Linked DNA regions of Xenopus tropicalis. The protein of the gene in region 2 binds, or shares a complex with, the protein of the main gene of each other region. Links are inferred from orthologs where the notes say so. Each region holds a gene or a part of one and is shown on either strand. Other genes may lie near its edges.

What was found.
Region 1: the proteins of ints9 (region 2) and brat1 are in contact, whole or in part, in a cryo-EM structure (PDB 8UIB), measured with the Homo sapiens proteins. The link is inferred for Xenopus tropicalis from reciprocal best matches to the Homo sapiens genes INTS9 and BRAT1. Residues at the interface, in NP_060720.2 of Homo sapiens: Gly276, Met277, Gly279, Glu280, Cys282, Ser283, Asn284, Ala286, Leu287, Arg290, Asn291, Tyr315, Asp317, Ser318, Ala319, Gly320, Ser483, His484; in NP_689956.2 of Homo sapiens: Ala406, Pro407, Cys416, Pro460, Gln506, Lys507, Arg508, Cys510, His511, Pro512, Arg517, Glu545, Leu549, Gln552, Asp556, Pro557.
Region 3: ints9 (region 2) and ints12 share a complex: the UniProt entries of both Homo sapiens proteins name them as parts of the integrator complex. The link is inferred for Xenopus tropicalis from reciprocal best matches to the Homo sapiens genes INTS9 and INTS12.
Region 4: the proteins of ints9 (region 2) and ints11 are in contact, whole or in part, in a cryo-EM structure (PDB 8RC4), measured with the Homo sapiens proteins. The link is inferred for Xenopus tropicalis from reciprocal best matches to the Homo sapiens genes INTS9 and INTS11. Residues at the interface, in NP_060720.2 of Homo sapiens: Glu127, Gly198, Tyr199, Ser200, Gln201, Lys202, Tyr231, Glu338, Phe339, Ile342, Phe343, Glu345, Gln352, Lys354, Val355, Tyr356, Leu357, Pro358, Glu359, Pro360, Pro361, Arg511, Arg512, Tyr513, Glu514, Lys515, Ile516, Glu517, Ile518, Met519; in NP_060341.2 of Homo sapiens: His94, Gln97, Ala98, His137, Leu138, His139, Gln140, Thr141, Lys274, His277, Tyr278, Lys280, Leu281, Phe282, Ile283, Pro284, Trp285, Arg291, Phe294, Ser449, Pro450, Ser451, Ile452, Pro453, Val454, Gly455, Ile456, Ser457, Leu458, Leu461.
Region 5: the proteins of ints9 (region 2) and ints4 are in contact, whole or in part, in a cryo-EM structure (PDB 8RC4), measured with the Homo sapiens proteins. The link is inferred for Xenopus tropicalis from reciprocal best matches to the Homo sapiens genes INTS9 and INTS4. Residues at the interface, in NP_060720.2 of Homo sapiens: Lys2, Tyr4, Lys18, Ser21, Thr22, Leu43, Val44, Gln45, Glu87, Glu89, Leu90, Asp92, Asp97, Thr122, Glu145, Arg146, Val147, Pro148, Lys159, Glu174, Ser176, Thr177, Ser192, Gln195, Phe206, Gly207, Ile379, His380, Ser384, Asn385; in NP_291025.3 of Homo sapiens: Leu53, Gln54, Leu57, Gln58, Arg61, Lys62, Pro86, Ser87, Leu90, Lys91, Ser94, Gln125, Gln129, Asp132, His164, Gln207, Asp208, Pro209, Arg210, Arg212, Asp244, Tyr245, Glu246, Gln247, Trp296, Phe837, Gly840, Leu841, Val842, Val843.
Region 6: ints9 (region 2) and ints6 share a complex: the UniProt entries of both Homo sapiens proteins name them as parts of the integrator complex. The link is inferred for Xenopus tropicalis from reciprocal best matches to the Homo sapiens genes INTS9 and INTS6.
Region 7: ints9 (region 2) and ints2 share a complex: the UniProt entries of both Homo sapiens proteins name them as parts of the integrator complex. The link is inferred for Xenopus tropicalis from reciprocal best matches to the Homo sapiens genes INTS9 and INTS2.

The regions. Positions count from the first base shown.
Region 1 is NC_030685.2:31,742,688-31,746,351, reverse strand, and holds part of brat1 (BRCA1-associated ATM activator 1), read right to left. Parts: coding exon 3,626-3,664; intron 2,128-3,625; coding exon 1,973-2,127; intron 1,690-1,972; coding exon 1,545-1,689; intron 301-1,544; coding exon 1-300. UniProt on the Homo sapiens protein: Component of a multiprotein complex required for the assembly of the RNA endonuclease module of the integrator complex.
Region 2 is NC_030681.2:151,882,591-151,886,793, forward strand, and holds the start of ints9 (integrator complex subunit 9), read left to right. Parts: upstream 1-1,276; 5' UTR 1,277-1,293; coding exon 1,294-1,302; intron 1,303-4,203. UniProt on the Homo sapiens protein: Component of the integrator complex, a multiprotein complex that terminates RNA polymerase II (Pol II) transcription in the promoter-proximal region of genes.
Region 3 is NC_030677.2:72,494,119-72,498,315, forward strand, and holds the start of ints12 (integrator complex subunit 12), read left to right. Parts: upstream 1-1,358; 5' UTR 1,359-1,441; coding exon 1,442-1,444; exon of another isoform or gene 1,445-1,526; intron 1,527-1,635; exon of another isoform or gene 1,636-1,728; intron 1,729-1,782; exon of another isoform or gene 1,783-1,803; intron 1,804-2,927; exon of another isoform or gene 2,928-3,001; intron 3,002-3,076; exon of another isoform or gene 3,077-3,093; coding exon 3,094-3,258; intron 3,259-4,061; coding exon 4,062-4,197. UniProt on the Homo sapiens protein: Component of the integrator complex, a multiprotein complex that terminates RNA polymerase II (Pol II) transcription in the promoter-proximal region of genes.
Region 4 is NC_030683.2:93,135,242-93,139,332, forward strand, and holds the start of ints11 (integrator complex subunit 11), read left to right. Parts: upstream 1-1,178; 5' UTR 1,179-1,332; exon of another isoform or gene 1,333-1,336; intron 1,337-4,091.
Region 5 is NC_030678.2:168,920,440-168,924,103, reverse strand, and holds part of ints4 (integrator complex subunit 4), read left to right. Parts: intron 1-1,393; coding exon 1,394-1,591; intron 1,592-2,181; coding exon 2,182-2,299; intron 2,300-3,639; coding exon 3,640-3,664. UniProt on the Homo sapiens protein: Component of the integrator complex, a multiprotein complex that terminates RNA polymerase II (Pol II) transcription in the promoter-proximal region of genes.
Region 6 is NC_030678.2:149,888,592-149,892,255, forward strand, and holds part of ints6 (integrator complex subunit 6), read right to left. Parts: intron 3,472-3,664; coding exon 3,256-3,471; intron 3,173-3,255; coding exon 3,046-3,172; intron 2,706-3,045; coding exon 2,563-2,705; intron 2,190-2,562; coding exon 1,973-2,189; intron 1,040-1,972; coding exon 683-1,039; intron 603-682; coding exon 509-602; intron 1-508. UniProt on the Homo sapiens protein: Component of the integrator complex, a multiprotein complex that terminates RNA polymerase II (Pol II) transcription in the promoter-proximal region of genes.
Region 7 is NC_030678.2:91,803,557-91,807,220, forward strand, and holds part of ints2 (integrator complex subunit 2), read left to right. Parts: intron 1-2,927; coding exon 2,928-3,092; intron 3,093-3,664. UniProt on the Homo sapiens protein: Component of the integrator complex, a multiprotein complex that terminates RNA polymerase II (Pol II) transcription in the promoter-proximal region of genes.

The DNA.
Region 1 (3,664 bases), on a different chromosome or scaffold from region 2:
CTGCTACTACTATACGTGACCACAAAATAGCAGCCAAGGTATCTGTGCAACCCTTATAAAATAAAGTAAGAACTTTGATTGCCTGAGTTACAGAAAAAGAAATCCCAGACATCAGTGACTTCTCCAAGAATGTTAATATTGTTTGAGCACTTTCTGGCCAATTAGGAATCTCTTTGCTTTCGGAGTTTTCTTGTTCCATCTTCAGACAAACTAGAAACGTGTGAGCTACAAGTTGGTTGGATGCAGAAGCAACAAAAAGGCTGGAGTCCATTTGTAGATTTAACATCACCTCTATAATTGCTGAGAAAGGAACATGCATAAACCATTACTCACTGAAATTGGGCTAAGGCCAATGGCAAAGATGTTAAAACCAAGGAGATAATGAGGTGGAGAGTGCTTGTTGAGGAAAAAGAATTTTGAGGAATAGAAAACACAAAATACATGGAGATTCCATCATGCGATGGAATGTACAGATAAGGACAGTGATCCCCAACCAGTGGCTCATCAGCAATGTGTTGCTCACCTCCCCCTTTGAGATTGCTCCCAGTGGCCTCAAAGTAGGTACCCATTTTTTTTTTTCGATTTCTGGCTTGAAGGCAAGTTTAGAAGCATAAAGAAGTAGTTTTATTCCAAGGAGAGCCTCCTGTTGGCTAGCAGTCCACATGGGGCTGGGGGTGGAGTGGAAAGTATCAAAGCAAATGTGCAAAGTAAAGGTGGCCATACATGGGCAGATTTCAGCTGCCGATTCTGCAGCTTATCTGCCCATGTATGGGCACCCCCAGTGGGCCTACTTGATCAATATCTGGCCTAAAATTGGCCAGATATTGATGGGGCAGGTTTGCTTTTATACAAATACATTCCATCTTTATTCAACAATTTAATTAGTCAGATATCGCCCACCTTGGGTGGGTATATCAGGTGAAGATCTGCTCGTTTAGCGACCTTGCCAAACATGTGGATCTTACTGTTTATGGCCACCTTAAGAAATTGAGATAGAAGTTTTGGACACAGAGAAAAAGTGGGACATGGGTAGACAGGAAGAAAAGTGAGGGGTTTAAAGAACCAGTAACATTAAAAAGCAAAAGTATTTAAATTTAAAGTTTGTACTGGTTTGTCTAGCACCTAGAAATAAACTATTTTGACCTATTTCGTCTATTTTATATGAGAAAGGTTGTCCTGTAGAGATCCATGGATAATATTTAACCCCTATTTTATATAAAAACAATTTTATTCCACAGTGATTATCTGTTATCTGATGGTAACCATGTGCCCTATTCATCTTGAATGGTTGCCCCTATGGCTACACAGTAGCTTATTTATACAAACTATAGTATTGTTTTTGAAGCAAACAATTTTTTACTAGTACATAGTTAAAGCATGCATAAAAAAACACTTTTTGGTGTTACTGTTCCTTTAAGGCTGAGAAGTGACTGAGGGAATAATAACATTCATGGAAAAACAATTAGCAAGGCAGTGAGAAAGGTGGTCATGCTCTGTACTTTCACATTCAAAAAATTAAAGTGAAACAAGTCATCTACACTCACCCGATTCTGATAAAAAGAAAACAGCCTGCTTATGCTGAACCATGCTGAGCAGTCCTTGGATCCAGGCCCTTCTTACTGATGCATCTCTCCATAGCTCATTTGTATAGATATATTTACCAAACATACGTTGCACAATATTCTTCATCTAGAACAGATGGCAAGACAATCAGTAACCTGGCAGATAAAATGGGGGGGGGCATATTAATGGGCCTGGGGAACAGACAGGGACCAAACACCCACAGAGATTGAGATTTTATCCTAAGGCATACTGGATTATACACTTAATTTAAATTAACAGACCTACAATTTGGTTGTAGCCCAGTCCAATACCACAGGATTTTCCCCATATCTATTAGTAACATTTTTAAATTCATTTTTAAACAAATGACTGTGCATTCTTTCTTTCATGTTTAATGTGATTTGCTCACCATCAGATACTTAAAGCCTGTTTCATGGCCTGCAAGCATTCCCACAAGGCGCATGGAAAAACTAAGAAGATTTGGATCAGGATCACCGGCATTCAAGACATGCTGAAAAAGCATCAAGATGCATTGATTCTCTTCCAGCAGTTGCTCCGCTGAAACTAGGGAGATAAGCAGAAAAAAATCATCTTGAATTTATAGATAAACTGCTCATAGAAATGCAACATGAACACTCATAGCGGTAAGACCTTGAGATCTTGTAATTTTTTGCACAAAGCAAATGTGCTGGACTAGTGTTTGTACGCCAATCCTATTTTTTACAAACCATATAGGTGGCCTTTACAGGGTCAATCAACCAAGAGGGCTGCACAAATAGTGTCTTATTTTATGAATCCTAATTGCTATTGATCAGTCCAACTTTAAAGGTGGCCAAACACAGGCAGATTTTGTTGTGTGACATTTCAGGACAATCAAATAAAATGAAAGGGTGCAAAACGATTGTAAAATTTATGATCGTTCCAACCACATTGTGCCAATAGTTGACTTTTCACCATTGTGTATGTATGTAAATGCATGAATGTTTGTGTAAATGTGTAAAAAGGCCTTTCCGGCAATGAGGGTCCCAGGATCACAGGGAGAATGTATGTGGGCAGGCTCAGGGAGGCTGGAGGGGATAAGGTCTAACAGCAGACACGAGTGAGATCATGTCTGCTGCTAGAAGTTGGGCCCTGCGACAATTTCGTTGCAGGACCGACTTGCCAGCCACCTTGGCTCGTTGCCTAGGGGGTTGGTGGCACACTGGACTTTCTGCGCTGGCGGCAAATGTGCAGAGAAAGGACCCTGAACTGCGTAGCGCATATGTGATATGTGCTTGCTAGTTAGAGCTTTTTCTGCAAGCACGTATCACATATGTGCTTGACAGGAAAGGCGTTAAACGTTCACTGTGCATGCCTGAGGGGTTGGGTTAAATGTGAAAGTAAACAAAGGAACAGAGAGCCATTGTCAGAGAGCCAATCGTTTGTTAAAAGGATCCATTAGCCCAGGGGCGCTGCTACCATGAGGTGGCAGCGCCCCCAAAGTTACCAGGGGCAGCAAGAAGCAGCTCCTGGTAACTTTAAGAGACAAATTTCTGTTTTTTAAAACGGAAATTCAACTTTGCTAGTGTAGAGAGTGCGATTGCACTTGCGATGCGGCATGCCCTGGACACTCTCCTGTGCTGTAAAGGTAAGTGTTGGGGGGCGAGGGGGGGCAGCATTGGCGGAGCCGCAATGACCATGTTGTTCTTATTTCTGTTAACACAGATACAGAAATATCAGCACAGATAGTAACATATCTACTGGTGGTATTGAGTACCTCCACAGTTTTCTTCGTGCCTATGTATTAAATAATAATAAATATATTGTATTTTAACTTGATTCCTAAAGCTTTCCATACAGCAAGATGAAACTTATGCATCTATTTTAAGAAATAGTCTAACTAAAAGTAAAAAAGGAGATTTAACCTGAATTTACTTCCCAACCTTATCTATAATCTGTGAGCACCCTAATGTCTTACCCTTAAAAATTCTGAATGATTTATTGCCTGTGGTTGAAGTGGGTGACCTATATTACCAAATTTTAAATAAATTCAAAGTTTACATCTAATTTAATATTCAGTTACCTGTGTTAAGCATTTGCGTAAACCAGTCCAACAGTTTCT
Region 2 (4,203 bases):
GCGAGAGTGCTGTAGGTGCCAGTCAGAGTGAGAGAGCAGTGAGTGAGTGAGAGTGCTGTAGGTGCCAGTCAGAGTGAGAGAGCAGCAAGCGAGAGTGCTGTAGGTGCCAGTCAGAGTGAGAGTGCTGTAGGTGCCAGTCAGGGTGAGAGAGCAGTGAGTGAGTGCTGTAGGTGCCAGTCAGAGTGAGAAAGAGAGGCAAGGGTGCCAGGCAGTGTGTGGCACAGTGAGAGAGTGCAGTAAGAGACAGTCAGGCAGTGTGTGGCACAGTGAGAGAGTGCAGTGAGAGACAGTCAGGCAGTGTGTGGCACAGTGAGAGTGCAGTAAGAGACAGTCAGGCAGTGTGTGGCACAGTGAGAGAGTGCAGTAAGAGACAGTCAGGCAGTGTGTGGCACAGTGAGAGAGTGCAGTAAGAGACAGCCAGGCAGTGTGTGGCACAGTGAGAGAGTGCAGTAAGAGACAGCCAGGCAGTGTGTGGCACAGTGAGAGAGTGCAGTGAGAGACAGCCAGGCAGTGTGTGGCACAGTGAGAGAGTGCAGTGAGAGACAGTCAGGCAGTGTGTGGCACAGTGAGAGAGTGCAGTAAGAGACAGTCAGGCAGTGTGTGGCACAGTGAGAGAGTGCAGTAAGAGACAGTCAGGCAGTGTGTGGCACAGTGAGAGAGTGTAGTAAGAGACAGTCAGGCAGTGTGTGGCACAGTGAGAGAGTGCAGTAAGAGAGTGAGACAGAGAGAGTAGAGTGCAGCGGGGCAGAGTGCAGGAGTTGCTGGAGAGCAGGGGGTGCCAGTACCTTACCTGAGTGCCGAGCAGCGCTCACTCTCTCCCACACAACATGAGTCCGGTTGCCGAGCCCGCAGCCAGCGGGCAGAAAGAGAATGTATGCCAGTCCTATGCCAGTCGGAGTGCCAGTAGCAGCCCTCGGTGCCCGACGCGCTCACTTTCCCCCACCCGCCTCCGGGACTCACATCGGAACCCGACCCGTCTTTGTCTGCCACCCCGCCGCCATGTTGGCACTCAGCAGCGCGCAGCTCCCAGCCGAATGTTTGCGCGGGAGTCTGGGAGTTGTAGTTTTCGGCGCAGCCAGACTCTCCCCGGGGAGCGAGCGGAAGGCGAAAGCAGGAAAACTACACTACCCGGCATGCCGAGCGCCAGTCTCTCTCTTACCGCCCTATCCCGCCTGGCTGAGCGTACGTCACACTGACGCAGCGAGTTATGGGCCGGAGAGACTACAAGTCCCAGAAACCATCGCGTCACCAGAAAAAGGGGCGCTCGGCGGTGAGGCCGGGGACAAGGCAAAGATGAAGCTGGTGAGATTCATGGTTTTGGGTTCTTATATTTTCTCTCATGCCTTTATAGATATGATATGCCCTGGCGTGTCTGTATCCGCAATGTGCTTCCCAAATGGCGCCTTTCCAACCTTTGCCTGAACTACAGCTCCCAGCATCCCCCAACAGTGTTGTAGTTCTGCGAGTAAATAGCAGGTCCTAAATGTGCCCATTCCTCTGTTTTATGTGTGTGGGCTCCAGGTCCTCTCTAGTCCCTTCCCTGACAAAGTCCCTACCCTCACTTAAATATGGCCATCAGATGTACATAGATGTCAGTTTACCCTCTGACAGGGTATTTAGTAAGAGTGGTGCAAAAGTGCAGTAACCCATAGCAGCCAATCTACTTCCATGAGTCTGACCTGCTCTAAATTGATCAAAGCTGATTGGTTGCTATGGGCTAATGCACATGTGTTTGTTGCTAAGGGGTCCACATCCTGTTATATAGTGAATAAAGTACCCCCTATTGTAACATATAGGGATATTATAAGCCCCCGAGGGGTTCCTTATAATATATAGTGAATAAAGTGCCCCCTATTGTAACATATAGGGATATTATAAGTCACAGAGGAGTTCCTTATAATATATAGTGAATAAAGTACCCCCTATTGTAACATATAGGGATATTATAAGCCCCCGAGGAGTTCCTTATAATATATAGTGAATAAAGTACCCCCTATTGTAACATATAGGGATATTATAAGCCCCCGAGGAGTTCCTTATAATATATAGTGAATAAAGTGCCCCCTATTGTAACATATAGGGATATTATAAGTCACAGAGGAGTTCCTTATAATATATAGTGAATAAAGTGCCCCCTATTGTAACATATAGGGATATTATAAGTTCCCGAGGAGTTCCTTATAATATATAGTGAATAAAGTGCCCCCTATTGTAACATATAGGGATATTATAAGCCCCCGAGGAGTTCCTTATAATATATAGTGAATAAAGTGCCCCCTATTGTAACATATAGGGATATTATAAGCCCCCGAGGAGTTCCTTATAATATATAGTGAATAAAGTGCCCCCTATTGTAACATATAGGGATATTATAAGTCCCCGAGGAGTTCCTTATAATATATAGTGAATAAAGTACCCCCTATTGTAACATATAGGGATATTATAAGCCCCCGAGGGGTTCCTTATAATATATAGTGAATAAAGTGCCCCCTATTGTAACATATAGGGATATTATAAGCCCCCGAGGAGTTCCTTATAATATATAGTGAATAAAGTGCCCCCTATTGTAACATATAGGGATATTATAAGCCCCCGAGGAGTTCCTTATAATATATAGTGAATAAAGTGCCCCCTATTGTAACATATAGGGATATTATAAGTCCCCGAGGAATTCCTTATAATATATAGTGAATAAAGTGCCCCCTATTGTAACATATAGGGATATTATAAGTCCCAGAGGAGTTCCTTATAATATATAGTGAATAAAGTGCCCCCTATTGTAACATATAGGGATATTATAAGTCCCAGAGGAGTTCCTTATAATATATAGTGAATAAAGTGCCCCCTATTGTAACATATAGGGATATTATAAGTCCCAGAGGAGTTCCTTATAATATATAGTGAATAAAGTGCCCCCTATTGTAACATATAGGGATATTATAAGTCCCAGAGGAGTTCCTTATAATATATAGTGAATAAAGTGCCCCCTATTGTAACATATAGGGATATTATAAGTCCCAGAGGAGTTCCTTATAATATATAGTGAATAAAGTGCCCCCTATTGTAACATATAGGGATATTATAAGCCCCCGAGGAGTTCCTTATAATATATAGTGAATAAAGTACCCCCTATTGTAAAATATAGGGATATTATGTCACAGAGGAGTTCCATGACCATATACTCCAAGTTGACTTCTAATATATTACAAAAGGGGGTACTTTATTTATTATAATATACAAGATTCAGTGAGTCATGTGACAGAAATGACATCACTAAGCTCTGATTATATCTGATGACATCACTAAGCACCGTTTATAAGGATATAATTTACAGTTTGGGCCCATAGGGAAATGACCAAACTATATATTATATTGATATATATGTATGATTAATTTGCCCCCTGGGCCTATACAGAGGAGATGGAAAATGGAACAACAAAGGGAACACTTTTAAATCATCTTTAATATGAGGTAGACATTGATATTCTGAGGCAATTCGTAATTGTTTTTCATTGTTTATTTTTTTGTGATTTTTCAGTTATTTAGTTTGAAATTTTAGTAGCTTTCTGGTTGCTAGGGTTTTGTTTACCTTAGCAACCAGGCAGTGGGTAAATGAAAGACTGGAATATGAATAGGAGAGGGGCTGAATAGTAAGATAAGTAATACAAAGTAACTGTTAATATATTTGTAAGTGTACACAGCAATAGTTTGTGGCTGCTGGGGTCAGTGACCCACATTTGAAAGCTGGAAAAATTTAGAAGTGGAAGGCAAATAGTTTTAAAACTATAATGAAGACCAATTGCAACGATACTAGGAATAGGACACAGTAAATTTAAAGGGGAACCATCCCATTTGCATAGAATAGAAACAAGATCATTTTAGCATCCCAGCAGCAGCCCAGAGCCCACTGAGCATGTGCAGTGCCACAGACACACAACAGATCGCCTAACAAGATCCAAAATGGGAAATTGCTGGGGGCAACTGTGAAGGCCTGGATCGTTACTGGTATAGGGCTGCTGCCCCTCTGGGCTGGTGCTGTGAGTACAGTATATAAACAGCTTTTCTGTGTTCCTATATTCTCATATCCTTTAAAGGGGTAGTTATTTAGCTTTTTGTCCAGCAGCTCTCCATTTGTTGTTTTAGCTTCTATCTGGTTGCTAGGGTCTTAATTACCCTAGCATCCAGGCAGTGGTTTAAACCAGA
Region 3 (4,197 bases), on a different chromosome or scaffold from region 2:
TACACGGGAAGGTTTCACTTTGGTCAAAAAAACAATACTATCTGTAAAAATGGACCCTTTATTGGAGCTCCCTATAGATCCTCTTAAGTCCCTGTTGTATTTCAAATGAGGGGTGGGCACATCCTAACAATGCCTGCCAGAAGCACAGTAGGAGGGGGATAGCCAATCACAGCCCTGCTGTCACACAAGCAAAGACAGGCTTCAGTTCCCTATCAGGTCAGCCTAGCTGCCGATTGGTTTCTATCCTACAGTGCAGCCGGTTCCCCTGCATAGCCTAGGAAAGAAGGCAGTAGAAAGTGGGACAGATGGGCTAGATTAGTGGGGTATTTGGAGAAAATTTAAAAAAATCAGCCTGAAACACAACTTTTTAAAGGAAATTCCTTCTACAATTCATTTGCACAATATTTTTTTCACACAATATTTCACGTTTACACTGCTGCTCTGGCCCCTTCAGAAGAAAGTTAGCCGCTTATCTACCTGTGTATGTGACCTCTCCAACTTCCTCCCCAATAGATAACCTGGCTAAAAATCCAAGTCCAGATATCTATTGGGCAGGTTTAAAAATCTCATTGTAGCAAGTACTGCATAGGCTCAGTTATGCTTTCCTGTCAACTGCATGTACTAGGGGCCATTTCAGTCAACACAAAATGGCCAGTGTCAGACTGGGCCGCCGGGGCACTGGGAAAAACCTGGTGGGCCCCAGTGGCCCGAACCCGATCCCCGCACACCACTCCTGTAGGTCCATAGGTCTCCATCCCTTGACGCACTGAAGGTAAGTGTCACTTATGCACGATCGGGGGAGGGGGTTGGACAGGTGGTGGGGGCCCCTGCGGGGATGGTGTGAAGGCAGGTGCATGGGCTCCTGAAGCAGTAGCCCCGGTGGGCCCTGCTCCCTGCTCCCCCCAGTCCGACCATATCAGGAAAATGTGTAAGGCCACTTTAAGTCATTAAGCTTACTAAAACATTTTTTCATACACCAGTTATCCTGTTTGTATGTTTTTGGGGTGCAGGAGGAAACAAACATAAAAACACCTTTGCAGACAGTACTTGAAAGCCCTGTCTAAGTTACTTCATATAAAATGCTTACTGTAAGTGAGTACACCTGTCACTCTCAGCGGTTCTGTTAGTCCTATATTAATTGCCACAGATGTAACACAGAGGCAAAACACCATTGTGGGCTAAACTAGAACTAACACAAAGCCCAACTTATTAAGTACTACACCTCCCCGAATTCCTTTATGGCAGTACACTGTAAAGGCTGTTGGGAATTTAACGCAAGAAGAACCGAACCTGAGGCCGGGCAAAGTAAGAGCAAGTTGCGCAGTAGAACCCAGATGGAGAATGTTTCAAGCTCCCATGTGCAGTGACCTAGGGAAGGACCCATAGCAACTGTGCAACCCCCCACACCGGGTACCTTTATCCTGCTGTTCTCTCGTGCCTGATGGTGACTGATTTTTTTTTTATTATTATTATTATTAAGGTCGGGGTAAAAAAAAGTTAAAAACCCAAAGTGCAACGGAGAGTCGCTCCCGAACACAGCCAGAAGGAAAATCTTTTACTGTTCCGTTACGAACAGGAACGCTTGAGCGCTGGCTGCGGGGAGCAGTATTGCTGAGGGACCTCCCACACCCGGAAGTAGCGGCGCAGTGCGAATAGAATCCTAAACCAAAGCACGGGATTTTGAATATTTCCATTGTAAGCAGTTCTATTAGGGCTTTGTCTGCTGAAGTAAGTAGTGATGGCAGTATCGCTGTACAGTATAAGGCAGGAGAATCTTCTAACCTGTGGCTTCTATAGTTCCCAGACTGAAGCAGCCTGAGCATCATTGGTGTTAAGAATATACTCTACTGGCCTGGCCCCACACTCTAACATGGGGGAATGAATTAAAAGATGCAGTTTGCCGCTGGCGTAGTAACCCTTAGCATCCCAAAGGGGGGGCCAACGTTGCTGGTGATATGTTTAAAAATAATATGGGCTAGTAAACCTGGGCTAAACTTTGCGTGTCACAATGTTGATAGACAAGTAAAGAGGAAGTAGACTGGGTAAAGCAAATTGCATGACAGTTTTTGCCCCACTCAACTCTTTTCATGTTACATAATGTTTATATATAACGTGTTATGTTGTACATACTACTGTGAAACCCAGATACTGTAGATATTGTAACTGTAGAGTAACTGGGCCATTGACTGGTAAGCAGTTTCATGAAAAATTTCTTTTTTTCCTGTCCTTATTTCATCCTGATTCCAAGCATTTGAGGGGAAGTTTGCCTTTTCAATAAATATAATGTGATGTTTTTCTGCTGGTCTTCATTTTTTGTGTTAGCTTTACATTTTCAAAAGACCATAAGGCACAAGTATATAGTGAACCAAGCATTCATATTGTATTTGTGATACCCTCTTTTTTCCAGCATTAGTTCATTTAATAGGGTTTGTGCCTGTTGTTGCAATTAATTGTGTTATTGTCGCTGTTACAAAATAGACAACACTGAAAATTGTCTCTGTGTGTGTTTTAGCAGAGATAGTTTTCGGTATTGTCTATGGCAGGGTATTTTCTGGTGTTTTGTAGCTTGCTACAAGTAGCTCCACGTCAGAGCCCTAAATAAGGTAGAGTAGGTAACTTCCATAACTATTTTATTTTAGCTTGCATTTCACTTTGTCACCCCTGGTTACATCTTTGGAAATAAAGTGAATCACCAGTGGAAAGGCATACCTGTTGCTTAATTTTCGAACTTGCGCAAAGTTTCCTCCTGCAGGCAACTTCGCATGACTTCATCACGTATGCCTTCCCGCCAGTGATTCACTTTATTGGCGGTGGAAAGGCATTTCGGTGGAGATTAGTCGCCCCTGGAGCCGAGGTTGCGGGCGACTAATCTCCCATGAGCAGTCACCATTACCTGAATTAAGATGATCGTTTCTACTATTATTTAGAGCCATGTTCAAGGATTAAATGTCTCTCGTATCTCTGATGAGTTGGATAATATAAACACTATTTACTTTTCAAGGTATGTTTATTGCTGTTCTAACATTTTACCATAAAAGAACAAATAATTGATACATTTATTTTTTTTTGTAAATAGCCTTATTTTCATTGCAGGTTATAACCATGGCAGTCACTATAAATACTGAGTTGGATCCTGTCTTTTTGAAGGCACTTGGATACCTCCACTCAAAGAGCAAGGACTCTGCTGAAAAACTGAAGGCATTGCTAGATGAGTCACTGTGCAAAGGCAACGACTCTGTCTACCGTCCTCAACCGAAGGTTTAATAATTAATAATTATTTAATATTTTAAAAACAAGAATACATTTGCTTGTAATAGCGTATTGTATATAGTTCTCTAAATGTTGTGACAGTTTATGTAGGTAAAATTTGCTTCAAAGGAAAAGAAATGCCAACACCCCACCCCTCAATGTGTTTATTGGGGAATGGAGTAATTTGCAAATGGTTCTATCCCACTCAGCAAAATTGTACTTTGTAGTTTGCATAGCAAATAAGATATGTGTTGAATTGTGCTCCCTGACTAAAAAATAAGCAACATTAAAACATTTGTGCAAGGAAGTATGTATTGCTGTAGAAGAATTACATAACCCTCCCATTTTTAAGGTTCTCGGTAATAACCCGGAAGAACTGTTGTTGAGGTTAAAGTATAGACTCAAACACCTTGCATCTAAATTTGGGTAAACGTACAAACATAGGTGCAGCTTTGCACCATTGCAGTAATCTATACCAAAATTCCAAAGTTTGCCACCTGTGTTTTTGATATAGTTCCAGGAGGCTTGTCATAATCCAACAATAATATTGTTGGCAATAACCAGTCAGCATATGGAGTATGAAAGCTTGACATATGAAAACATATAGCATATCTCTTTCTTGCTTGCCCTCTTTTTGAATTAAGTTATTTTTAAAGTAATGAAAATTAATCTTTAGTTTATAATTTCTGCAGGATGATTAAGTCGTAAAGAATATTGTTCCACACTTAATGTGTATCTGAAAAATATACCTAAGAAAAGTATGTATGTGAATCTTTTGCTGCTTTTCTTAAAGTAATGTGTTTCTGTTTAAGGAAATGGAGCAGCCCAAAGCAATGTTATCTAAAGTTAAGCCTGAAACAAAGGCCTCTAGCAGCACTCCATCAAGCAGTATGCTAAGCAAACCACTGACTTCAGAGAAGTTAAAGAAGGAGGCTGAGAAGAGATCTG
Region 4 (4,091 bases), on a different chromosome or scaffold from region 2:
AGCCCTCTTTTTTAAAACACATTTGCCCAAGATAATTTTCTTTAGAGAGTCAAGCATTGATTGCTACTGCACATGGCACATGAGCCCAAAGGCTGCAAGCCACACTAAGCAGGCTGTACCTTACAGAGCATACTTGGGCCAGAAGCTTTCATAAATGATAACCAGATATGACCACTTCTCATCTGCACAGTTCCATAGGAAGCAGTGGGCCACAATTTGGTATAATCATGGAATTATTGTAAGAATAATGTTACATTAGCCAGGGCACCACAATTTGTCAACAGTATGTAGTAATAGCAAAAATATGTCCGCTGTTCCTTGGCAAACATTAAGTCTATTTACTTAAATGGATGGTTTACCTGAATGTCATTTGAAGGGTTATTCATCCATCTGAAAATCCCTCATGATCACTTCTCATGGTTCCAATTAAGTTGGGAGACATGAGAATGTGAAAGTGTGCTGAAGCCCTTCCAAGCAATCTGTGTATGTGTCATCCCAGTAACTGGACCCACTGGTCACACTTTCTTTCCAGCCAGCTGAATAGTATTGTGTGTGCCATTACCTTTAGAAACCTGATCATCTGAGGAGGGTTTTCCTTACGGGTTCTGAAATACTTGCCTTTTCTCTGCACCTCTCTGAACCAACACTAATCTGCGTTCTAGATACTACAGCCCCAGTGATCGGGGTGGCCAGAAAGTAGTTTTATCCTATTTTGCCCTCTCCCAAGGCCGGGGCTAGAGTAGTGCAAGTATTTTGGAAAAGGAAAGGGGGCACGATTGCAGAAAATATTTATGGCGGGTTTATGGTACAAATCCAAAGACTTATCAATATTCTTGTTACCTTAACAGTGGAGCGGGCTTCCCTAAATCAGTATGGCAGCCCCATGATTTCTCTTTCCCTTGGTGTCATGGGCTAGTCCGGTTAGAATACACGGCACTTAATGTGGGGCCCTGTATCCTTACAGTTTCGTACTTACCTTCTCTCTTTCGTTCACCTGTCAGTCCGGACTCACCGCAAGCCACCTCCTTCCAAATAGCCGACTGGCAAGCCATTCTGCACCACGCCTAGCGCAGGTTGCTCACCAATGACAAGGCTCCTGTAAAACATGCGCCAATAGTTCTTAGTAAATGTTGAAGCTGTGAGATTAAAGATCCGGCTTCTTCCTGCGCTAAGCCACGCCCCCTATGGAACGCTAACTCTGTTTCGCTGACATGGCTCAGTGATTTAGCGGATTGGTTGGAACTAGCACGTGACCTCGTGACGCAATAAGCGTGCAGCAGCATGGCGCATCCCTGTGGGAGCGGATGATGTTTATGCTGATGTTCAGGATAGGCAGGTATATTTTCGTATTACTAAGATATGTTAGTAAGTGCAGATAAGGAGCTACTTGGTACCGCTTAGTTAGTTTATTTATGTGCCAGCAGAAGCGGGTTGCCGACATTTATATGTGGCAGTTCCCGTGAGGATTCTTACCCTGCCCTACTGCTTGCAGTGTTAATGTTAGAACTGATATGTGTCAGCAGTGTGCTAACGAAGGGATTGTAATCTTTTCTAAATTGCTCTACTTAGATTTTCTTCCAGGACACGTTTTCCTATTCAAGTGTTTCCTCTCATTTCTTTTGGTAGTGTGCAATTAGCTTGTGCCTTGTGCAGAGGTGGGGGGGCACAGAATAACTACTAAATTATCTCTTCCACACAAAATTCTTTGTCTTCACCACAATTTGTAGTATGCACTGGGCCCAAAATGTGTGTGCATTCCTCCAGCTGCACAGTGTAAGTGTGACATTGCTCCCATTGCTGTTACAGGGGACCTGTCACCTTAACAAATAATTCCAAATTTAGTTCTACCATGTTAGTTGAGCAAAATAAACTTCACTTACTCTATATAAATAATCTAAATCTTGTTTCCTTCAGTCTTGGAATTACACAATCCCAGCAAGCAGGCAGGCACCATTTTGTGGACACTGTTATTTAGACAAGCTTTGTATCATGCCAAAATCTTGTTTATGTGATAAAATTGAGGACCAGATGCTCAAACCCATACACTGAAGTGCAGTGACATCTAGGAAGTGCTGAAGGAAAGTTAAAGTTATTGTCTGCCCCGCCTCTAGGCCTAAGGCATAGAGGCGGGGCAAGCAATATATGATTGACAGCTGGGATTTTTGAATGTCTTTATAATGGCCATGGATGTGTTAAAGGAACAGTAACACCAAAAAATGAAAGAGCTTTAAAGTAATAAAAATATAATGCACTGTTGCCCTGCACTGGTAAAACTGGTGTGTTTGCTACAGTAACACTACTATAATTTATATAATAAGCTGCTGTGTAGCCACGGGGGCAGCCATTCAAGCTGGAAAAAAGGAGACAAGGCACAAGTTACATAGCAGATAACAGATAAGTTCTGTAGAATACAATAGTGTTTTATCTGTTATCTGCTATGTAACCTGTGCCTTTTCTCCTTTGAATGGCTGCCTCCATGGCTACACAGCAGCTTATTTATATACATTTTAGTAGACTTTCTGAAGTAAACACACAACTTTTACCAGTGCAGGGCAGCAGCACATTATATTTTAGTTACTTTTATACACTTTCATTTTTTGGTGTTACTGTTCCTTTAATAAAAAAAGGAATTTGGATTTCATGTTTAATTTGAACAGGACTTTTATTATACAGCTTTTTATGTCTAGGTCCGTGTTTTTCAACCTTTTTTGGGCAAAGGCACACTTGTTTCATGAAAAAAATCACGAGGCACACCACCATTAGAAAATGTTAAAAAATTTAACTCTGTGCCCAGCAGCAGTGCCCCCCTAGTACATTGGTGCCCAGCAGCAGTGCCCCCTAGTACATTGGTGCCAAGAGCAGTGCCCCCCTAGTACATTGGTGCCCAGCAGCAGTGCCCCCCTAGTACATTGGTGCCAAGAGCAGTGCCCCCCTAGTACATTGGTGCCCTGCCTACGGCACACCAGGCAACATCTCGCGGCACACTAGTTGAAAAACGCTGGTCTAGGTGACCAGTCGGTCCTTGCTCATTGAAAATCTATTACTTGTTTTCTTGTGGCCTTATAGTGTGATTAGGTGTCTAAAATAAATTACAGTTCCATGCCCTGCTGCACTTCATGTTATTTCTTTATAAATAACATAATGAAGTTTTAGGGTAAGAGGGCTAAATGATCAGTAGGGGGGTGGGCATGCCTCTGGGTTTCTAGAATAGAAGAGTCCAGATATCTAGTAGAATTAAGTCTAAAACAACTGGACTTTTCTGAGTTTTTCTTGAAAACGTTTCACCACTCATCCGAGTGACTTCTTCAGTTGTTTTAGACTTAATTCTACTAGATACTGTATATCATGACCTGGATGAATCTTCATAGACATGAGTCCAGATCTTGACCCAGATGATTGCCTGCCTTTTTGACTTAGGAAGTTTCTTATTTCTGTTCTTTATTAATGATAGATGTGCTGCCTCAGTTGCTTGATCAATATGGGTCTTGCCAAGACGATTGTCAGCCTGCATCCTGATCACTATTTGATGTGGACATATATTTTTCCTGTTGTTTATCCATCTTGTCATAGTTATATGTGCTGTTTTTTATCAGTGCAAGTGCTTGTTCACTGGCTAAAACTTAGATGTAAGGGTTTACACTGCCACCATGGATAAAGCATATTCTTTTTTTCTTTGTAAGCATTATAAACCACTCATAGACATTTTTAAGCTGCTGTTTATTTTTCTTCATCTGCTGAGCAAACCATGTGTTGTTTAATTTGCCTGTGTAGCTTTCCCCAGTCCCGTGGATAGTAAATAGAGGACTAGACAGGGAGGTTGGTAGACCTGAGAATTTTTTTAGGTTTTTGTTTAAAAAAAAAAAAAAAAAAAAAAATACAATCTTCAAGTGGGATAGTTCACCTTTACTCCAGCTTTTAGCTTCTTTTAAATGTGTTGACTGTAATTTAGATATAAACAGTCCTTAAAGGAATACCGTCATGGGAAAACATGTTTTTTTAAAACACATCAGTTAATAGAGCTTCTCCAGCAGAATTCTGCATTGAAATCAGTTTTTCATTTATATTTAATTTTAAAATTTCACATGGGGCTA
Region 5 (3,664 bases), on a different chromosome or scaffold from region 2:
TGGATCTCCATAACTTACGTCTGCTAAAAATCATTTAAACATGAAATAAACCCAATAGGATTGTTCTGCCCCCAATAAGGGGTAATTATATCTTAGTTGGGATCAAGTACAGGTACTGTTTTATTATTACAGAGAAAAGGGAATCATTTAACCATTAAATAAACCCAATAGGGCTGTTCTGCCCCAATAAGGGGTAATTATATCTTAGTTGGGATCAAGTACAGGTACTGTTTTATTATTACAGAGAAAAGGGAATCATTTAACCATTAAATAAACCCAATAGGGCTGTTCTGCCCCAATAAGGGGTAATTATATCTTAGTTGGGATCAAGTACAGGTACTGTTTTATTATTACAGAGAAAAGGGAATCATTTAACCATTAAATAAACCCAATAGGGCTGTTCTGCCCCCAATAAGGGGTAATTATATCTTAGTTGGGATCAAGTACAGGTACTGTTTTATTATTACAGAGAAAAGGGAATCATTTAACCATTAAATAAACCCAATAGGGCTGTTCTGTCCCAATAAGGGGTAATTATATCTTAGTTGGGATCAAGTACAGGTACTGTTTTATTATTACAGAGAAAAGGGAATCATTTAACTATGAAAGAAATAAACCCAATAGGGCTGTTCTGCCCCCAATAAGGGGTAATTATATCTTTGTTGGGATCAAGTACAGGTACTGTTTTATTATTACAGAGAAAAGGGAATCATTTAACCATTAAATAAACCCAATAGGGCTGTTCTGCCCCCAATAAGGGGTAATTATATCTTTGTTGGGATCAAGTACAGGTACTGTTTTATTATTACAGAGAAAAGGGAATCATTTAACCATTAAATAAACCCAATAGGGCTGCTCTGCCCCCAATAAGGGGTAATTCTATCTTAGTTGGGATCAAGTACAGGTACTGTTTTATTATTACAGAGAAAAGGGAATCATTTAACCATTAAATAAACCCAATAGGGCTGTTCTGCCCCCAATAAGGGGTAATTATATCTTAGTTGGGATCAAGTACAGGTACTGTTTTATTATTACAGAGAAAAGGGAATCATTTAACCATTAAATAAACCCAATAGGACTGTTCTGCCCCAATAAGGGGTAATTATATCTTAGTTGGGATCAAGTACAGGTACTGTTTTATTATTACAGAGAAAAGGGAATCATTTAACCATTAAATAAACCCAATAGGGCTGTTCTGCCCCAATAAGGGGTAATTATATCTTAGTTGGGATCAAGTACAGGTACTGTTTTATTATTACAGAAAAAAAGGAAACCTTTTTCAAAAATTAGAATTATTTGCTTATAATGGAGTCTATGGGAGACGGCCTTTCCGTAATTCGGAACTTTCTGGATAAGGGATCCCATACATGTACCATTCAATTTTGATTTGCAGCAGCAGCCGCTAGAGGAGCCCTCGGCCAAGAAGCTGCGTTTGACAAAACCCAGCAAATCTGCAGCTCTTCACATCGACCTGTGCAAGGCGACTTCTCCAGCGGACGCCCTGCAGTACCTGTTGCAGTTTGCCCGAAAGCCTGTCGAAGCAGAGAGTGTGGAGGGAGTTGTGCGAATCCTCCTGGAACATTATTATAAGGTAGGGGAATATGGGTGCTGTGTCTGTATTGCTCCGACTTCATGCCTTCATACTGGGAGACAAATCACTAACCATAAAGGGAACTTCACCCAAACACAAGCTTTTTGAAAAGAAAACATAATTTCAAGCAACTTTGCAATATACATCAAATAAAAATATACAGCCTTTTCCTGATTTTTAATGTCATAATATGCCTCACCCCCTGTTCCCCTGCTGATCTGGCTGACTACTTTGTGACTTAAATAAAATGTAACAGTAGTCACCTGTCCTCGGCCTGCCTTCAGCTGGCATCCTCCCAATCCCACAATTCCCTGCTGCACACGTGATGTCAATAAGGAAAGGAACATCCCAGTGCAGTGCATTGTGGGTTATGTAGTTCCTGCATGCTGTCTGTAAGCTGTGGAGAAGTTGTAACAATTTGTAACATCAATGTTTTAGTCCCTCCTCCCCTGCCAGGATTTCAAATGATGCAGAAAGAGAAGAGCTGTTTTGAACTGTTTGAGGCCTTAATAGGATGTACCCACAGTGATGAATTAATACCTCTGCATAAAACCGTTTCTCTTCATTAAACTCTTCATTTCCTTTTTAAGGAGAATGATACCTCTGTCAGGCTGAAGATCGCTTCCCTGTTGGGCTTGTTATCCAAGACGGCTGGATTTTGCCCGGACTCCATAGTGGACGATGTGATAAATACTCTTCAGAATGAAAGTAAGGCATTTTGTCTCCCTTCCTAACCCATATCTTTTCCTGCTGTTGAGGGATTTCATTATCTGTACAGTTATAGGCCTACGGGTGTCTCTTCTGCTACAGGCAGGATGTATTTAGGCAAAACAGTCACTCACTTCTAGGTTACTGTGCTAGTTTTAATGGACCTTGCTTTTATATTAGGAAGCAGAGGAGGTTTGTGTTAAACGAGATTTGGTGTACTATGCTAATTATATCTAACGGTGGCCATACATGGGCAGATTTCAGCTGCTGATTCTGGTTCTTCAGATCGATTCAGCAGCTTATCTGCCTGTGTAGGGGCACCCCCAACAGTCTTACCTAACCAATATCTGGCCTAAAATTGGCCAGATCTCGATTGGCAGGTTTAATTATTTTTGTTGGATCATGGACCGTGTCGGTTCATTGATACGGTCCTTAGTCCGATGTCCTATATCCCCACCATTTTCATATAGGACCAAACAATCGAATTAGCTCAATATCGCCCACCATAGGATTGTAGTAGATAAGATAGTGGTGTCCATGCAACCATCCAGCCTTGGTTGAGTGATATGTTATGGTAATAGGCTAAAGGTGGCCATACAATTCACCAAACGTATCCCAAACTTTACAAAAAATTAAAAGAAAGTTCAAAAAGAAGAATCACATTTTATTTGAAAATCCATATTAAAAGCATACAAACCCCAAAACACGCTGCCTTACGCATTTGGTACCCTAACGGTACTTAGTCACAGGCAGTCATAGGCCTATGATTAAGTACCATTAGGGTACGAAACGCGTAAGGTGGCCCTTTAATCTGGTGAATGTGTCCCAATCACTCTGGCCCTGTTTGACTGGCCATTGGGGATCTTTTTTGATAAAGTGTAAAGGTGGCCATACACAGGCAGATTTAAGCTGTCATTTTGAGTCCTTTAGACCCATTCAGGCAGCTTATCTGCCCGTGTATGGGGGCCCCGGACAACCCTACACAACTGATATCCGGCCGAAAATTGAGCAGGTGTCGATCAGGCAGGTTTGATTTTTTTTTTTTCAAGTTGGATCGATGACCGCGTTGGCTCATTGATGCGGTCCTCACTTCAACCGTTCCTATATCCATTCAGGGCCAAATTAGCCTGATATCGCCCACCTTAGGTAGGAATATTTGGGAAAGGGGATCTGCTTGTTTGTCAGCAAATCTTTTTCATTATAGTGATGATGTGATGTACTATTAACCAGTTCATTGTGCCAAGCTGAGATGCTGATCCACTTTTGTAGACCTACTTTTTCCACTAAATGTACATTAAACTCAACATGGTAAATAATTCCTTTTTTATTCCTCCCCTTAGAGTCCCACCAGGTTCTCGCACAGTT
Region 6 (3,664 bases), on a different chromosome or scaffold from region 2:
CATTACATAAACTATAAAATGTTTTCAGGGAGAATATTTTTGATCCCACGTTCCCTGACAAGAGCAGCAAATGCTCTTAAAACGAGCACTAAGAAATTCTTGCTCCCCTTAGTGCTGTTGCACTTGTGTCCAGGGGTTTGAAGAATCAATTAGTCTTACTATGCAGCCCTTTCCGGGATTTTTGGGAAGCTCCTGTACAAACAAGGAGCTCAAAATGGGCAAAGCAATCACCAATAAAAAAAAAGGCAAAATAAAAAATGGAATTACATGAAAAAGGCTGCAAAGTAGTGACAATCAAAATATGTGTCCAGAAAAATTTCAGATATGTTCAGAGGGTGGCTTCCCCACACCATGGGATGGCACAATAAGTAGCTCAGACCAATAAGTATTTTTCTACTGAAAAATAGCAGTGTTTATTTCTTGTGACTCTTCCCATCCAGCTGCAATGGTCCTCTGCACTTTAAAAGAAGCAGCAAAGGTACAAAACGTGTAGCGTGGCACTTCTTACCTGGCTGCCTCTTTGATGACATTCTGCAGAAAAAGAAGGCGCGTCTGTAGGTCACCTTGAACATCTTTGAGCAAAGTGAAAATGATTCCATATTCTAAAAACAGAAATATATAGTTATAGTATTTAGCAGATATGATTTTGTTTCCATGACAGGACAGACAGTATAATACTTACTTCTGCCTGGCTTGCGAATTTCTCTTAGTATTTGTGCTTTGAGCTCTATGTTGGCCTCTTCATAGCTCCTGCATTGTTGCAACCTCCTTTTTCTGTGTGCAAATGCAGCAGTGTTGTTTTGTAAGCAGCTTGGAGTATCACCAGAGTCTTTTGTTTTTTCAAGAAACACATCGCTAGTGTCGTTTGGCGTAAAGTTACAGTCCCTCGCTGCTGCATAAGCTTCAGTTGCTTCTACGGCAGCATCGGACAGTGTTTCAAATGGCTCTGATTTAGTAGTCACTAAGTCATCACGAAGATGGTCCGCAACATGATTTTCTGTAGCTTCATTCATTGCAACATTGTTGCTCGGATCAGAATCTATAATTAACAAAGGATTTAATCAACATACATTTTTGACACGGACCGCAAACAAATATATGAACTGCTATGGTCAGTGTAAAACAAATTACCTGTTGGCAGGACAGGATATAAACATGGATTTACACAATTAAAAATTTAAACCAACTGAAGGAAGAAACTACCCAAAATCAATGTTATTTAAAGAGAAAAAAGCATAAGAAAACCCAGTATGTTAACAAAAGATTAACTTTTAGGGCTCTGGTACACGGGGAGATTAGTCGCCCGCGGCAAAACTCCCTGCTCGCGGGCGACTAATCTCCCCGAGTTGCCTTCCCCCTGCCATCCCACCGGCGAACATGTAAGTCGCCGGCGGGATGGCAGACACGGCAGGGCGATTTCGGGAAATCGCCGAAAAAGCCTCACGAGTCTTTTTCGGCGATTTGCGCAGAATCGCGCCGCCGCGTCTGCCATCCCGCCGGCGACTTACATGTTCGCCGGTGGGATGGCAGGGGGAAGGCAACTCGGGGAGATTAGTCGCCCGCGAGCAGGGAGTTTTGCCGCGGGCGACTAATCTCCCCGTGTACCAGAGCCCTTAAACTGAAATATATAACCAAATGGCCAAAGTTTGGCCTGCTCTAGTAAACCTATAGCAGCTAATCAGTACATAGCTTTTAAAAAGATCAAGTGCTTTATCTGGGTTGTGTCAATCAAGCAACCACAATCAGTAACAAAGTGCCCCCTACAGGTCTGCTTTCTGCCTGATTCTATGCTAAGTTTGAAGTAGCATTGCTGTGCTCATGCATGTGCAGTGCGCCATGCATGAAGAGCCGATATGCAAGCCCTTTTTTGGACCATTTTGCAACATAAAAAAACACACATATTATCAAGTTACTTATGCTTTCCAATAATCCAAATGGCATATACATTTAACAAAGTAATCATCATACTTACTTTTATGTACAGCTACAGGTTTTGGCAGATCAGGTGGCACCTGATCTTTCCCTCCTATGTGGTTGTTTATCACTGATGGAGACTGTGGTCTGGAGCGCAACAATGGCGACATACACCGCCTCCTCTTTGGGACTCCTTGCATGTTTGGTTCTCCTGTGCGTTTCTGTTTATTCTGGTTCCCTGACACAAACTCATCAGCTTCATCAATCATCATCCCCTGAAACGAAATAACAGTTGATCATATGCCAACATTCAAGGGAAATTTACAGTTGGCCTTTATGCATGTGGTTCTCTTCTTTCCTGCAACACTTACTTGTGATATTAACATAGCTATCTCGTGATTGCAACAGCAAGTGTTACTTTTATATGTCATGGAAGAATGAAAAAAAAAATAGCAAGAGAGAAAGTGAAAGAAAGAATGAAAGAGAAAGAAACAAAGAAAAGAGCAATAGAAAGAGAAAGAGAAAGAAAGAAAAGGAAAGACTTTACAGGGACACCTAAAGTTGCTTGGACATTCTTATCTAAAATAATAGCTTAGAAAAAATAAATCTCTGTTACATGTTTTCTTTGCATGCAAAGCCTTCAATTACCTTTTTGTCTAATTTAAATGGATTTCCAAAAGTGTGAAGTCTCCGGGGTTGGTCAGAATCAATCTCTCTTAAGGGTGATGGAATGTGCTTTAGGTATTCTTGGTAATTTCCCATCTGGACGATAGGAATGCTGTGTGCCTGATCTGTGGGGACCATATTAAATTTTGCATTATTTCATATAATTTACATTGGTGATAGAAGTGATGCATCTGCAGCAGCTTAAGCCTTATCTACAATAAATGCCTCTTCATGATACAAATGCAAATAAGTCGACAGAGATTTATGATAAAAAGGAACTCAAACTTATGCATCAACATTGCATTGTATTCCTGCAATTTATTGCTTCCAATCACATCTTCAATTTCTTAAAATCTGAAAATGGCTTTCCTCCATCATTTCCTTATTGCAACCATATACTAAAAAATGTCTGCATTAGAATTTAACCAAAATAGGCAGATATGAATGGCCATTAGAATACTGCACCTTCATCTTGCCCTTTAAGAAACTGGCGAGTTGACTTAAGAAGATTTGCCCTCATTCTTGTTAGATGATCCAGAAGATTTGTTCGCGGGATGTCATAGGCATTTCTGAAAGTCTGTGGCTTTATGTCCTGTGGAGAATAGAGAATGTGAGTGCTTCTGGGAACATCAAACGTAAGCACAAGGGGCACAAGCGATCAGTGGAATAACATACTTTATTCAAAAGGGCTATCTGGAAGCCAGCAAACTCCTTCATATTGAGATCCATAGGCCGCTGTGGCACTTCCCCGGTTATTTCCTGAAGCAGCTGCTTGAAATCTTTTCTCAGGGCCAGTGACAAGGCATTTGAACCACTCCGCACTTTAATGCCCGTTTCCTGCGGGAATTTCTTTCCTATCAAGCCTATCACTCTGTCAGATTCAATTTTTGCCTACACAAAGAAAACATGAAACATTGAGAAACCACTCTGCGGAAGTGGCAAATTAATTCAGGGATGTAACAAAGGAAAAACAGAGCCAGGGGAGAAGAAATGGTATATATTATTATGTGTTGATGTAAGGACACATAGGAAATTGAAATTGTATTGCCGTCTTTGCACATTATTGCTATTTTTGTACACTGTA
Region 7 (3,664 bases), on a different chromosome or scaffold from region 2:
TAACTTAAGTGTATACTTCTTCTGCATAAGACACTCAGTATGTATACTTTGTTAAAGAGCCCATATACCATACCATATAACATATAGGTGCTCTTACTTTTTCAATATAAGTGATGCTTGGGTGCACATAGTAAAAACAGATATGTAAAAAAAATCAGCAAGGTACCGGGTGAAAAAAGTGTCCTTCATTTAATGCATCAACATTATAGATACACCATGTGGGCAATAAATGTAAAAAGATAAAAGGAAATGCACAAATTATATAGCTGGAAATTATATATATTAGAGGTCTGTAATCAAGAAGCATTTTTTAGAGAGTGAGACTGATCATGGAGCAATAACACAAGATTGATTTATACAGGAACCGCACACCATAAAGGAGAAAAAAAATACACAGCAGGGACAATAAGTATTTAACACGTCAATGTTTTTCTCAGTAAATATATTTCTAATGGGGCCGTTGACATGAAATTTACACCAGATGTCAGTAACAACCCAAGTAATCCACACATACAAGGAAATAAAAACAAATAAGTCCATAAATTAAGTTATGTATACTAAAGTGGAATGACAAGGAATAAGTATTGAACACACTTACACTTAATATGTCGTAGAAAAGCCTTTGTTGGTAAGAACAGCTTCAAGGCATTGCTCAGGTGTGATTTTGGCCCATTCTTCCACACAAACTTCAAATCAAAAGGTCCCAGGAGCCTCTTGTATGAACTCTGATCTTCAGGTTTTTCCGTAAATTTTCAGTTGGATTCAAGTGGGGTTACTGACTGGGCCATTCTAGCAGCTTTATTTTTGTTGTCTGAAATCATTTGAGAATTTTCTTTGCTGTGTGTTTGGGATCATTGTCCACCCTTGTTTCATCTTCAGCATCCTGGTAGATGGCAGCAGATTTTTATCAAGAATGTCCCGGTACATTTCTCCATTTCTCCTTCCTTCAGTTATATGAAGTCTGCCAGAACCATATGCTTGAAGCCCCACCCCATGATGTTCCCACCTCCAACCTTCACTGTTGGTATGGTGTTTTTGGGGTGATGTACAGTGCCATTTCTCATCCAAACATGGTGTGTGCAATGACATCCAAATAGTTCAATTTTGGTCTCATCTGACCAGACTATAGTCTCCCACAGTTTTATTGGCTTGTCTAAATGTTGTGCAGCAACATGCTTTTTCTTCAGCAGTGAGCGGTGAGCATGCATAGAGGCCATGTTGGTTGGGTGCATTACTTATTGTTTTCTTTGAAACAACTGTACCTGCTAATTTAAGATTATTCCTGAAGCGCTCTGCGAGTGATCTTTGGCTCTTGCTCAACTCTTGTGATTATTTTTTGACTCCTCTGTCAGAAATCTTGCAAGGAGCACCTGGTCATGGCCTGTTTAGGGTGAAATACCGACAGATTTCAGCAGTTTTCTTGGTTTTCCCATGCCTTTTTGCCCCTCCATTTCTTTGTGTTCAATACTTATTCCCTGTGTCATTCCACACATAACTTAATGTAAAGACTTCTTGTTGGTTGTTACCAACATCTGGTGTAAATTGCATGTCAATAGCCCCATTAGAAATATATTCAACTTGACATGTTCAATACTTATTTTCCCGGCTGTATAATTACTGGGGGTACCAAAGTAGTAGGCACCTGTCAGATAGTATTAAGACCACTTCCTCAGCCTGGACACTGAAGAGAGAGGATCTCTCTGCAGCTCTAATGGCATCTTTAGGAGGTTAAATGCTTTCAGAATGGCAAAAACTTGTGTATTTGCCTCAAAAAGGCTACAATAGTTTATATAAATAAGCTGCGGTGTAGCTATGGGGGCAGCCATTCAAGCTGGAAAAAAGGAGAAAAGGTGCACAGCAGATAACAGATAAGCTCTGTAGAATATAATGGGGCTTTATCTGTTATCTGCTAAGTAACCTGTCTTTTTTCCTTTGAATGGCTGCCCCCATGGCTGCACAGCAGCTTTGTTTATATGAACTATAGTAGTCTTTTTAAGGCAAACACACCAGCTGTACCAGTGCAGTGCAATAGTGCATCATACTGTAATTACTGTTATACACTTTCATTTGTTGGTGTTACTGGTCCTTTAAGGGCTCTGGCACACAGGGAGATTAGTCGCCCGCGACAAATCTCCCTGTTCGCGGGCGACTAATCTCCCCGAGTTGCCATCCCACCGGCGACAATGTAAGTCGCCGGTGGGATGGCACACGCGGCAGCCAGAGCCCTAAAGGACATGTAAACCCACCCCCCTCCACACACAAAAATTTAATCAGTGAACAGCCTCTTTGAAATCTTTTAATACCTGCCACACTGGTTGTCTAGAGGTTAACAGTAAGGCTGTAGTGTTCCCTTATTCACTTGGATTTCGGATTTCCTTCTCCTCCTGTAACCCACTCAGCCCCCTCCCTCAGGAATTTGCTTTCGCTTCTGGGCATGCTCAGTTTTTCTCAGCTAAGATTATTAAACATACCCTCTAGTCTAGCAGCCAATGTAGAGATTGCATTGCTGGTTCCAATAGAAACTCGGCTCCTAACCTCCTCTCCTGAGCTTAGCTTAACCATTACAGTGCTCGATAAAAAAAAAAACTTTTATCAAAGACAGTTCTGCCTGTGTGAGCCTTGATCCTTGATGAAATTTATGCTGAATAACGGTCTTAGTGTGTATGCTGTTTGCAGATTTAAATGTAACGTTTAAATTATGTGCAGAGAAAGAATGGCTGCTGGGTGAATGCTGCTATTTGCTTTAGGAAAATGTGATGTTGCTGGTATATGAAGGGGATATATGCAGTACAAATGATGCCATTTGGATGGGGGAGATCTGCCTAACTGATATACATTGTAAGAAAATGTAGGCTTGCTACATGTCCTTTAAGGAAATACCAATTTAGTTGCCAGTAATTGGATATAGTTTTTTTTGTATGTTCTAGGTTTGCACTCTGCATTACTGCGTCTGCTTTCTACTAACTATCCTCATCTGTGTATTGTGGATGACTGGATCTGTGAGGAGGAGATCACTGGAACAGATGCTCTTTTAAGGAGAATGCTATTAACCAGTTCTGCCAAAAGTCATTCGCCAAAGCAGCTTCAGGAAGGTAAGGCAATTCTGTAGACAAAATATTTAAAATTTGTGTGTATGTTTTATATTGTGTTGACTGTCATTTTAGCTGTTCAGAGGTTGATATATTAAACTGGGAAATAGAAAGTGAGCTGTTAAAAGTAACAGAATAAGCACTGGGCGAGAATCTGCCCCTCCTCTTTAAAATTCTGAAAGCTGTGCCTGCATCCTGAAGTATTGCTGCCATCCGAGTACAGGCTCATGCAGCATATTTTAGCTGAAAACTGCTCAACTATGCAGTTTCAGGCTGAAATAAGCTGCATTTGCCCGCATCTGGGCCGTAATGCTATCGGGTGCAGGCACAACTTTCAGATTTTTAAAGCATAGGGGCAGATTCTTGGCCAGTACTTATTCGCAGGCTGAGAATCTGCCTGAATGCACTAGCTGAAGACACAACAAAAAGTCATTGTGGAAGGGCAAGTTCTGCTAGTACACAGATATTGCATGAGAACTTTCCAAATGACTAACAGTACTCAGGGCTATTAAGAGTTATATCTTTTATACATAGTAACATAGTAAGGTTGAAAAAAGACACATGATTATCAAGTT